Caenorhabditis elegans: one gene and its partners. The protein of the gene in region 2 interacts with the protein of the main gene of each other region in a pairwise test. Each region holds a gene or a part of one and is shown on either strand. Other genes may lie near its edges.

What was found.
Region 1: the proteins of nhr-22 (region 2) and lst-1 interact in a two-hybrid assay, tested with the Caenorhabditis elegans proteins (one study listed by BioGRID).
Region 3: the proteins of nhr-22 (region 2) and gpa-7 interact in binary tests that used the Caenorhabditis elegans proteins (3 or more experiments, as listed by UniProt).

Annotation. Positions count from the first base shown.
Region 1 is NC_003279.8:10,586,791-10,590,546, forward strand, and holds lst-1 (Lateral signaling target 1 protein), read left to right. Parts: upstream 1-1,710; 5' UTR 1,711-1,721; coding exon 1,722-1,751; intron 1,752-1,882; exon of another isoform or gene 1,883-1,888; coding exon 1,889-1,957; intron 1,958-2,143; coding exon 2,144-2,689; intron 2,690-2,771; coding exon 2,772-3,025; intron 3,026-3,202; coding exon 3,203-3,290; 3' UTR 3,291-3,674; downstream 3,675-3,756. UniProt on the Caenorhabditis elegans protein: Plays a role in germline stem cell maintenance, perhaps acting in concert with mRNA-binding factor fbf-2.
Region 2 is NC_003280.10:6,448,037-6,451,792, forward strand, and holds the start of nhr-22 (Nuclear hormone receptor family member nhr-22), read right to left. Parts: upstream 1,757-3,756; 5' UTR 1,753-1,756; coding exon 1,408-1,752; intron 530-1,407; coding exon 367-529; intron 279-366; coding exon 147-278; intron 1-146. Other genes in the region: atg-16.2 (Autophagic-related protein 16.2), read right to left, coding at 3,127-3,217, 3,689-3,756. UniProt on the Caenorhabditis elegans protein: Orphan nuclear receptor.
Region 3 is NC_003282.8:10,401,991-10,405,746, forward strand, and holds the start of gpa-7 (Guanine nucleotide-binding protein alpha-7 subunit), read left to right. Parts: upstream 1-2,017; 5' UTR 2,018-2,028; coding exon 2,029-2,146; intron 2,147-3,756. UniProt on the Caenorhabditis elegans protein: Guanine nucleotide-binding proteins (G proteins) are involved as modulators or transducers in various transmembrane signaling systems.

The DNA of each region.
Region 1 (3,756 bases), on a different chromosome or scaffold from region 2:
CTCTCATGTTCCTCCATCTGTTCAAATACGTGACAAAAAACTGATAAGAAGGAGAGCTTGCACTTGAAGTTTACACTTTTAATAATCTTTCAATTGTTACTACTGACGGCATTCCATTTAGTTAATCGGTTTATTGAATTTTGAGTGTGATTTGATAAAAAGAAAGTTAGTGAGAATTGAATCGCGTTCCTAGTGATAAAGTTTTTGGAAACTTTATAGTTTTCGTTGTTTTGTAGTTTTTTCTTTACAATCGAAATTTTATTGTATGGCACCAAAGTAAGCTAAAGGCACACAGGTCCATTCGGATGGGTCTCGCCACGAAAAAATGTTTTGATAGCCCATTTTTGTGGTGATCGCTGCAGAATTTTCAAAGATTTTTTCGTAGGTTTTCGGTAAAATTTTTTATAAAACTTAAATATTTATAAAAATTAGAAAAAACACATAAATTGTGCCAAATGTAAGAAAAACTATTTTGAAAAATCGATGAAAATTCGACGGAAACGAACATTTTGAATCTACAGTAGTCTCAAGGAGTACTGTAGATTTAAGGCGCAAACCTGCTTGTATTTAACATAAATTCAAGACCTGGTACTTTATTTTCGTCGTAAAAATTGCAAAATTTCGTACCTAGGTAATATTTTTATTTTTTATTTTTTTAAAACAAAATTTTCATGCAGTTCCGTTTTCAAAACGATAATAAAATCTTCGAAGTGTCTGAAATGTCGCTTTTTTGTTATCTTAAACCTTTTTTCCGTTTAAATTTAATGTTTCCTTGATAAGTTCCAATTTCCCAAACATCTGAGAATGCTTAGATATCTTCCCAAAATGTTTTCAAATTGACAAATGGCTGTATTGTTCAATGATTCATCTTGTCATTCTTTTCTCCTAAAGAAGAGGTCTCCATTCATCTTCTACCTGCCGTTATTGACCACCTACTGTCGTAGTTTTTATCGTTTCATTTAGTCACTCTAATTACTCTCATCTCTTTTCATTTTTCCCCCATTTCGATTGAAATTAGATTAGTTCCGATTGAAAGTGTTCGGATTTTAGGTTGATGAGGCTTCGATGACAATTTTACATTCCAATTTTAAAACTTCTATATTTTACGAACGAAATATTTCCAATTCCGGGACGCGTTGAGAGGTATGCGCCTTTAAGAAATACAGTAACCCGCTTGCAAGGAATTTTACACGTTATTTTTTTCTCGCTAAGATTTTTTTTTTGCCTTATTTTTCAGGTTTTCATGTAATTCTGCTTATTTTTGAAATAGAAAAACTAGAAAAAGCTTAAGAAAATTGCGAAAGGGGAGTGGGTTACTGTACATCTTAAAGGCGCACACCTTTTTGAGCGGCTTCGATTAATGGGAAACTATTTTCTTTCCCATCTGGGAACGTTTTTCTCAAATTTAATTGCTTGCCCAAGCGATTTTGAGGTTTTTTTTCAATTTTCAGACTAATCCAATGTTTTTTCTTTAAAAATAAACTTTTTGTCGATTAAAAACATGTTTTTAAATGTTTTTAAAGCCCGCGAAATTCAAAAAAGCTCTTGCATTCTTGCTCCATTGCATTTTCCCACGCCTCCCCCAGGCGTGGGAAAATACGTGGGAAAATGACAACTTTCCCACGCTTGTTATTTTCGATGAATTGTCCAATTATTCGTCGGTGCCATGTTCTTTCTCATTTCAAAAGAATTATTTGACTATTCAATCTTCGCGCGAGACAATGTGTTCGACTTTTATTCTTCCTCCAAGAGTGAGTTCACTTTTTTTTTGAAATTAAATATGTATTTTCTCTTTCCGATTGAATTGTTTCAACGATGATCCCGATTCTCCAACTTTCTCCATTTCTTTTATTACCTTCAGTTTTATAATAATATTATCATTTTTCAGAGAAACAACTGCAACAAAAGCAGTAGTACCATCGCCTACTCGAAGTCGCAACACGAGGCGCCGAAGCAAGTGAGTTGGAAGTTTTATTTTTCGTTTATATAAACGTGTCGAAACTGACCTATTTTTTGTCACGCCGTTCACGTGGCTTTCGTCACTAAATAGAATTTTGCGCTCCAAAAACAGAATTTTGCTCTTTTTTAATTAAAATAAATAATTTTTCATTAAATAGACGTAATTAATAAAAATTAATTTCAGCTGCTTCAACTCCGATCTGAAATCAAGCCGCTGATTCCGCTCAATCAACCTTCCAATTTTTGGGAATCCAGTCAAGATAGCGGAGTTCTCTCCAGCTTGTCATCTTCTCCCCAACAACGTTCGGGCCTGAGAAGTCAAAAATTGCATTTGACGTATATAGAGAAGAACAAGAGAGTTCGTGCAATGATTCCACAACAACAGCATTATCATGCATTTGATCGCCCGACACACTACAATTCTCGAAAAACGTCTGGCCCACCACCACTGATGAGAACACCATCTTCCGGATTTTCGTCGGCTTCTTCGTCGGAGAACATGTTTTCTGGATTGACATTGTCAGACAATGAGAACAAAATCCACGAAATCATGGATCCATCAGTTGACGTGGATCTTGACATGTTTCTTTTGCCTGATTGTCGATACAAGCAACCAGTGCAACCATCAACCAGCACATCCCGTAACAATGTGAGCCAGATCAGCGGGTCGAGTCGTCTAAATGGATCCACGAGACATGTCGCACCAATTGTTCCAAAAGTTGCAATGCCGGTGAGTTTAAAATAAATTTTAAGTGATTTTAAAGAAATCAAATTATAATTTTCAAAATTCAATAAAAATTTACTTTTTTCAGTCGGAGTTATCATATGCCAACGTGAAGCGTTCAAGTGGATATGTGGATTATATGCCAACAACTTACAATTCCAACGTGACGTCCAATTCGTCTGCAGCATCGGTTCCAATGTCTCCGGGCACATGGGTTCGGTGTCACTATTGCTGGGAGTCGTATGTGAAACTGTGCCAACGAGTTGCAAATCTCGAACCACTCATCTCATGTGATGGCCCATGGAATTGGCATACACTTTATGATATGCAAGGACGAGTCACGTATGTTTTTATTTATTCTTTGAAATCTAAAAATTGATATTTTTATCGAAACACGACCTAAAATTTTCTTTTAAAAAATTGTGTTGGAATTCGTAATTTTTTCGATTTTTAAATATCTAAACTTCGAAAATCTAATAATTTTTTTAAAAAAATCTTCTCAAATTATTATTATTTCAGATGTCCCCGACTGTGGTTTGCTCAACTCGATCGTGCCGGTTCAGAAATGGTCGAACAAATGGGACACGCTCGAAATGTTCCAGTCTAAGCAATAAAATTGGTTTAAATATCAATTAATTTATATTTTACCACCCCCTTCAAATGTTCTTCTTGTTTTACACTATCATCCAAAAAAATGCGGTTCTCTTCTTGATTCTTTTGTTGACGAATACGGGCATTCCGTGTGAGCGTTTTTCTTTTTTATATTAATTCTTTCTGATCCTTATTAGCTCCTGCCACACACACCATTTTATGTTTAACTTACATATTACCACCATCCCTGTTTTTTGATCCCCTTCCCTTTTTTAATAAAACATAATCAACTGTGCGAATTATGTGAATTTCAAATCCCATCCAATCTTTCGCTGTATATCCATGTGCTCTTTTGTCTCTGGTGGGATCTTGCCCGATAAAATAAAGATGTCAAATATTTACTTTTCGCTATTCTTATTCATTTATTGGCAGGAATTTCAGAAATTAAATCTCAAATTGGGATGAGGCACACAGTTGAAGAT
Region 2 (3,756 bases):
CACTTTTGACGGTAACTAAAAAATTTAAAAAATTTTTTGAAACGTTAAACTGTTATACTTAGGAATTTTATTACCATAGGAGAGGGTTTAAAAAATTTCCCAGTCGAGGGCTTCAAAAATATTTTCGAAATAAATTAGAAACTAACCTTGAACATTTGTATATGTATTTACATACTCATCATACGAAGATTCAACATCGTCATCTTCCTTTTTCGATACAACCAATCCCTTGGAACGTCGTTTTGCAACTCTCGTCTCTTCTTTTCTCGCTTGCACCACTGCAAAACAACAAATTACTGTTTTTTGTACCTCGGACTTTTTGGCCAATTGAACATGTGACAAATGACCTTGTCAATGATCACTCACGTTCTCTGCGCATTCCGGCATCTAAACATTTGATGAACCGACAGTGACGGCATATCATTCTGAGCTCGTAATGGGTTCTACACGGATTTGTGTCATCTCCAGTGCCAATGCATTCGTAAGTCATTGACATTGAAACACTTCTTCGGAAAAATGCTGCACATGCCTGAAAATATGCTCATTTATTAAATTTATTCCAATTAAATTGTGAGAAACATGTTTCCGGAGGTATTAGTGATGCAAATTGTACTTTTCATTTTCTCTTTATTTAAACATAAAGCATGCAAAGTGTGATGTACGTTATCAACAACTTTTTCTATTTGTTCGTGGTTTTCAGTAAGATTATCATACAAAACTTGGTCAAAAGGAGCTAGTTTCTAAACAGGAACTGTACTGTGGTGTGTTCAAACATCCGATCAGATGAAGATCTTCTATTGTCATTCTAGCTACACTTAAGACTACAAAAACAAATAGTGTGAGACACATACCACAAATGGCCACAAAAATAAGTGATGTTTCGTCGAAATACGCAGACGGAAAAAGAAAATACCTGACTACAATACACTTCTAGATAACACAGGATAACAATAAAAACACGTGGCGAGCATGTTACAAATTTTGGCACATTTTCAAAGCATAGTTATATTATTACGCCTTAAAATACTTTAGGACCTTTTTTCACAATTATCACTAATGAAACCAACGGTTTATCGGTGTTTTTAGAACAAAAATTCAAGTCTAGAAATGTTGATTTTACGAGTTTGAATGATAAAAAATATGATAAAAGTTTGAAATTACAGTACTCTTCAAAGACGCACAACGTTTCGAATTTAACAAAAATATGTTGCGCTGAGGCAGGATACCGTGGGCCTGGGTAATAATGTCCGATGCAAATTCAATTGTTATCCAGAAAACAAAAAATGTATATTGTACAACAACAACGAAAGTACAACACTTGTAAAAACAAAAAATGTTCATTTTTTCGGAGTAGTGCTAATTAATAATTGATACGAGAAATATTTTTTTCTTGATCATATTGCTTACCTTACAAGAACGACCTCCAAAATGTAGAGTATTGGCAGTGGGAGATGAACAGACATGACAACTTCGACTGTCAGTTAATGGAGATGGCATTCCACGTGGAGATGTTGAAGCTTTATTTACAATCTCTGGGAGATGATTCGATTCCGGTGGAGGTGATGAAGATCCCTCTTTCCAAATGCAGAAGTCAATATCGAATGATGGTTGGAATCCAAGATCGTAAGATGGAGATGATCCTAACGAATCACCAACGTCCAGAGACTCAGGAGATGGTGGTACGTCTTCAAAAGTATTTTTGAATAAATCGGTAGGTGGATAGAAATATTCATAGAGAAGGTCCGTAGACATATTTGATTAAAGTGAAAATGAATGGAGGTGTGCGGCAATGGTAGAGAGTAAGAAAAAGAGAAGAGAGAGGTTAGAGAGAGAAAGGACCGAACAAGGTTAGTACTGATAAGAACAGAATTGGGGGAAAATGAAGAAGAGAGAAAGGTGGGAAGAGGCTAATTGGAGGAGATGAGAAATTGGCTGGACAAAGGGGAGAAGATATTAATATATGGATTTATTTATTTGTTACGGCAAGAGATAGAAAATTGATTCATTAATTTTAAAGAAATGTGAGTTTTAAATTTGCAATTCACTGAATTAATATTTTCAAATATATGTATGAATAAAAAGTCTGTGGTTTGAAAATAATGCAAAACTATTTTCAATTAAATTTCGCCTATTTATAGTCACTGGAACGGAAACTTCATTCTGTCTAATCGAAAACGTGATGGGAAAATTTCAAATTATCACATTGAACTTATGGTTTTTCAAAAAATTTAAATACTCAAGTTTTGAATATTTCACACAAATATATATAAAAATAATAGAGAGAATAAAGATTTACGTTCGTTATAGAATTAGAGAGAAACGTGCGAGAACAAGAGATCGCCGACAGTGGCAGAGATTGCGGAAAAGGTGGATGTAAGAGAATTAGAGATAAAAGAAAATGTAAGTATATTAATACGAAAGAAAAAACAACTAAGCTGTCTGCGACTCATTGAGAGTACTAATCTTTTGAACCCTGGAAGATATGTAAAATACTGCTTCAGAAAACTGGCCGAATTGTTTTCAGAAATTGACATCTTTTCACAAGTTTATATGAAAATATTTTCCTGGCAATGCAGAATAATCAGAAATCATTAATATTTGAAATATACTTTTTTTAATAAACTTTTTTCAAATTCAGATCGAAAGGAGCAAATTTTTTTCAATGACGAAGAATTAGGACTATTCATCGGCAAAAAATATCATCATGCTGCGGGAACAGAAATTATTAATTTCCTGTATTCTTGTCATCATTTTGAACTGATTTTCATAGGTTAGCATCAGAAACTATAGAAAATTTAAGAAAACTCGAATGTTTCCAAACGACTGTCAGTCAGCCAACCAGGTGAAATGATAAGAAAATGTGCATTTTATGTTCATAGAATACAAGGGATAGGTGGTGATAACACAGAATTTGTAATATTCAGGCATTTTTTGAGGATTACCGGTTTAAATTAAAATGTATAAATATCATACAATTTTTTTCTATTTCAAACGAATGTTCATAATGAAAAATCTGAAAGAAAACATGAAAAACGCGGGTAAAACTATTTTTTTAAAAATGGATATGCACATTTATAACACAGATGATGATTCTGTACAATTATATTCAATTTCATACATTGAAGATCATCTCCAGAGTGTACAAGTCTTCTGACGATCACAAGCTAGAAGACCTCGGCCTGACGGATTCCATGCCAGAGACATTATTTGAGCCGAACTGAAAAAAAAACATTTTTGAGAGCAGAATTGGGGCATTGTACTCTGGAAGCGGATTTAATTTCCCAAGTTTTCGATTTTCATTCAAAATTACGGTATCTCGAAACGATAATTTTTTATTAAATACATATTCATCTTTTAAGAGTACTGTAACTTTAAACGCTTGTTGCTGCCATATTTTTTTACATTTTTTCAAAGTTTTTATTTAAGTGTAGTTTTATCGAAAGATTTAGAAATTAAAATTCCGCAGTACTCTTTAAAGGCGCACGCCTTTTCGCAATTAACTGAAATATATCGTGTCGAGGGCAGGTGCTGTACCTTTGGAACTAAAATCGCTAACTTTTGCGTCTGGCTAATGATGGTAACAAAAATTCTATATTCTATAATATCACATTTTTGATTAATTCTAACAAAAAATTTTGAAACATTTTTGAAACACTTTTTTGTAATATCGTTTCTTAATTTCACTCACTCTGATCTCGCAGTTTTCACAACTTTTTCCAACTTTGTGGTTTTTGTATTCCAAATGAAAACAGACGA
Region 3 (3,756 bases), on a different chromosome or scaffold from region 2:
AATTTGAGATATCGATGACTTTCTAACTCATGCGCATTTCTAGGTTGTAATTTGAGAGAAAAGTGTCGAAGATGCGAAGGAAGTTAACTTAGGAACAACCAGACGCTCAATTTTTGTCATTTTTCCTGTTTTCATTCTGCGTTCCAGATTTTACGGATTTCGGAAAATCCGGTATTCATTTATTTCAATCAGAAACAACAATCAGGAATCACACTTACGCTGCAGCTTCAGACATACTCCTTCATGTTGTTTTAACTTTTCTTTTTTCCTTCTTTTTCTTCTTTTTTGTTTCCTTTTTCACTTTCCATCCTTTCAAGCTTTTCACACATTCCCAGCTCAAAAACAAAAAGGGAAATCCCCAAAATTTTCTCTTCCGCCAAAACACAATAATCTATGTGCTCCCCAGAGTTTTCTTTTATTTTTTCACTTTAATTCAAATTCTAGTCATGTTTGGGGCCAACCAACTCAATCTCAGAATGCCCTCAATCAATGTTTGTGTGCTTGAAAAGAATGTGAGGGAGGATCTGATTAATCCCGAGGGGCGTGTTGCCTCCACCCTCACTTTTTTGTTGTTTTTTTTTGCTCTTTTCTGTTTGATACCAATTGAATGACTTCTGACGAATCTGCAAAACATATTCAACTTCTGTTTCTGGAATTTTTAAAAGCTTGTCAATTTAGAGTGAACACTAGTAAAATTTTTGATTAAAAAAATTCCCATCGCATATTCCTTTTAAATAGAAACTTATAACTTTAAATCGTTCCAGATATATATTATCTGTATATTTATAAAGGAGAAAAACGAAGCAGTTGATCGAATTTTAGAATATTCTATTTTTTAGCTGGATCATTTATTTGACAATTGCTATTAAAAATTATAATTAATTGAGTTTTCTATGAGACTTCAAATATAATGAAGCTTTAGCTGAAAATCTGGAATTTGTTGTCTCCGAAACCAAATATCCCAAATTAAGCCCCGCCCAATTGTCGCCCTTCTCGAACTTTTTGCAACAAATTTTCTAGAACTGAACCAACTTTTTTCGCTGTTTCTTGGTAGTGTGTCCTTCTAGAATGTAGAGAAACGAGATAGTCTAGTTTCACTGTTTTCCATTTAATTTTGCATCTGTTTCTTCCTTTTTACCTCTCGCTCCTTGTATTCCCTTTTCATCTCATCTCTGAATCGAAAACGACGACGACGATGAGCATGTTGCACATTCAGAAGAGCCAGAAGATGAAGAGACACGCAGACAAGGAAGGGAAAATGGAGAGCCGCGACAGCATCGGGGCGAGTCCTAATCCGATGGGCTCTCGCCAAAAGGTGAGGGGGCGGAATGAGAGATAGAAAGGGTGGAAAGGAAAAGGAGACCAATAAGAGAAACGCCGCGGAGAGAAGAAGAAGAAGGCATGGACACAGAAAGTGAGATATCCGCGACATTACTCTCACACTATATCGTCCATCCTCTCGTCTATGCTCTCCCTTCTGGCTCCGTGGCTTCCCGTGGATCTCGGTACACATGCGTCTCTGTCTCCATTCTCTTGTCATGTTTGTCTCTGTCTCCATTCTCTTGTCATGTTTGTCTCTTCCTCGCCTTTTCGCGCATTTTCAGCAGAGCAGCAGCATCAAGGAGCGTCTCCGGGGCTCTACAATTTCTGCGTGTGGTCACTTGCGCGTCTTTGCTCACTTTGTTGGCTGATCTGAAAAAAAGAAGAGAAAACGAAAAGAAACCAAAAGCTGATTTCTGATCATGCTTGGCAAACTTGTAGCGACTTTTTGAAAGGTTTTCTTTGTACTTCTACGCACCTAATATTTGTATTTTTATGTGTCCTGTACTCACACCACTTATGACAGTCTGTCTCTTGACATGGATACTCTTTTACTTTGGACTTTGTGTCGGTGGAAACAAAACTGTTTGATAATCTTCAAATTCTTCAGTATTCTTTAATTTAATTTGATAAAATTGACTTTGACCCTTTCCATTTTCCTTGCTTATTCTAATCTTCTTAAATTCTATTTTTAAAATTTCAGCACAAATGGGTCACTGCACGAGTAAAGATCAGAAAGAAGGCAAACGTCTGAATCGTCGGATCGATGAGCAAATCAAGAAGGATCAATCGATGAGTCTTCGGATCATCAAGTTATTACTATTAGGTACGTACATCTTTCGGTTTTTTTCCCTGAAGAAATTTGAGCTCGTTTCATTCGAAATGCTATGGGAAAAAAGAGAAAACACGATCCACACGGTGTCCAGTTGGAGCACACCGAAGGGGTCAGGTGAAATATATTTATTTATAGAAAGTCTGCGTTTCTGGTTTTAAATTTAGAAGATAATTAAGTTTCCCATAAAATAGTCTAGTTGAGAGCTAATTCTGTTGTTCTATGATCTTTTACTAAAATAGAATATTTTCGCATCACATAATTCATTCATTCCCCCGAAGAGTAATCCTTTCCATTGAAGGACATTCTATTTGATATTTATTCTTGCAATATTTAAATGTGAAATAATTCACGAACTCAAACTTCAAACATCATAATGTATACATTTGATTTGAAATTTTTCTGAAGTGAAATGGCAAGTCTTGTAAAAACTTCACTACCTTGATAAAACCCCAGAGCAAGCAGATCACTTTTTTCTAGTTTCATGTCAACTAAAATTTTTTGCAAAGATTTTCTTCCTCATGTCTGTTCTGACATCAAAATTACGTATTGCAAGTAATAAAGTATGTCTGAAGCATAGAAAATGGACAAGAACTTTGCTCCGATTCCAAGTTGTTAAGATTGAATTTGAAAAATAATGAGACTTTGTAGACAGTGCAAAATCAAGCGAATAAAGTTTCAAGGAATTCCAAACAAATAATTTATCTACAGTAGGTCCCAAAACACATTATGATAACGCCAAACCTCATTTATAAATTGATCGAAACAATGTGTTCTCTCTGAAGTTTTCTTTTTTTTTGGCTTCTGATCGAATTTCAGATTTTTCTTTTGAGAAAGACAAGGACGCATATTTAATTTAAAACTAAAAAAATATATATATTTAGTATTTTCTCAGTATAATTTTCTGGGGTAGTTTCCTGAAATTTCCCCAGTTTTCTACATTCTCTATAAAATATATTATTAATACTTTTACTTTAAAACTTTCCAATTCGATGTGACCACTGAGCTAAAAAAAACAAAAAGTGTCCTCCTGACCCAATTATTTCGCTTTTTGACGTCACGGAGCAAATTTTTATTGACTCTGCACCAGCAACGACCCATCCAATTAGTATGTGTAGAAGTGAAGGAAAAAAAAAAGAGAAAGTTGTAAAATGATACATGGACATGGAGAGAAACATGGGAATCCTGGAAGAAATGTTTAAGAATTTTTTTTGTGTTTTGGTATTTGTTGGAATGAGATGAATCATCATCACATGCTGGATTATTGAAATAATCTTTTTCACTCAATCTTAAAAAAAAGAAAAGGACATTATTAAAGAATTGTTGGGGAAAACCCAGAAAACTCGATAATTCCAAAGATAGGGGTCTATTATTGACATTTTTTTTTGGTAATTTGAAGATTAATTTTGAAGTTCTAGAAACAATATCAAAAATGTTCATGCAAGATATGGGAAATCGAATGAAACTTCACTTTTTTTTTAAAGAAAATAGTCCGACACAAAATGATATAAATATTGTGAATATTCTTTGCAAACTCGTTTTTTTGTGGTTTCTGAATAAATGACGATAATTCAACAAGTGGTGGGTAACTTTTAAATCCTTAT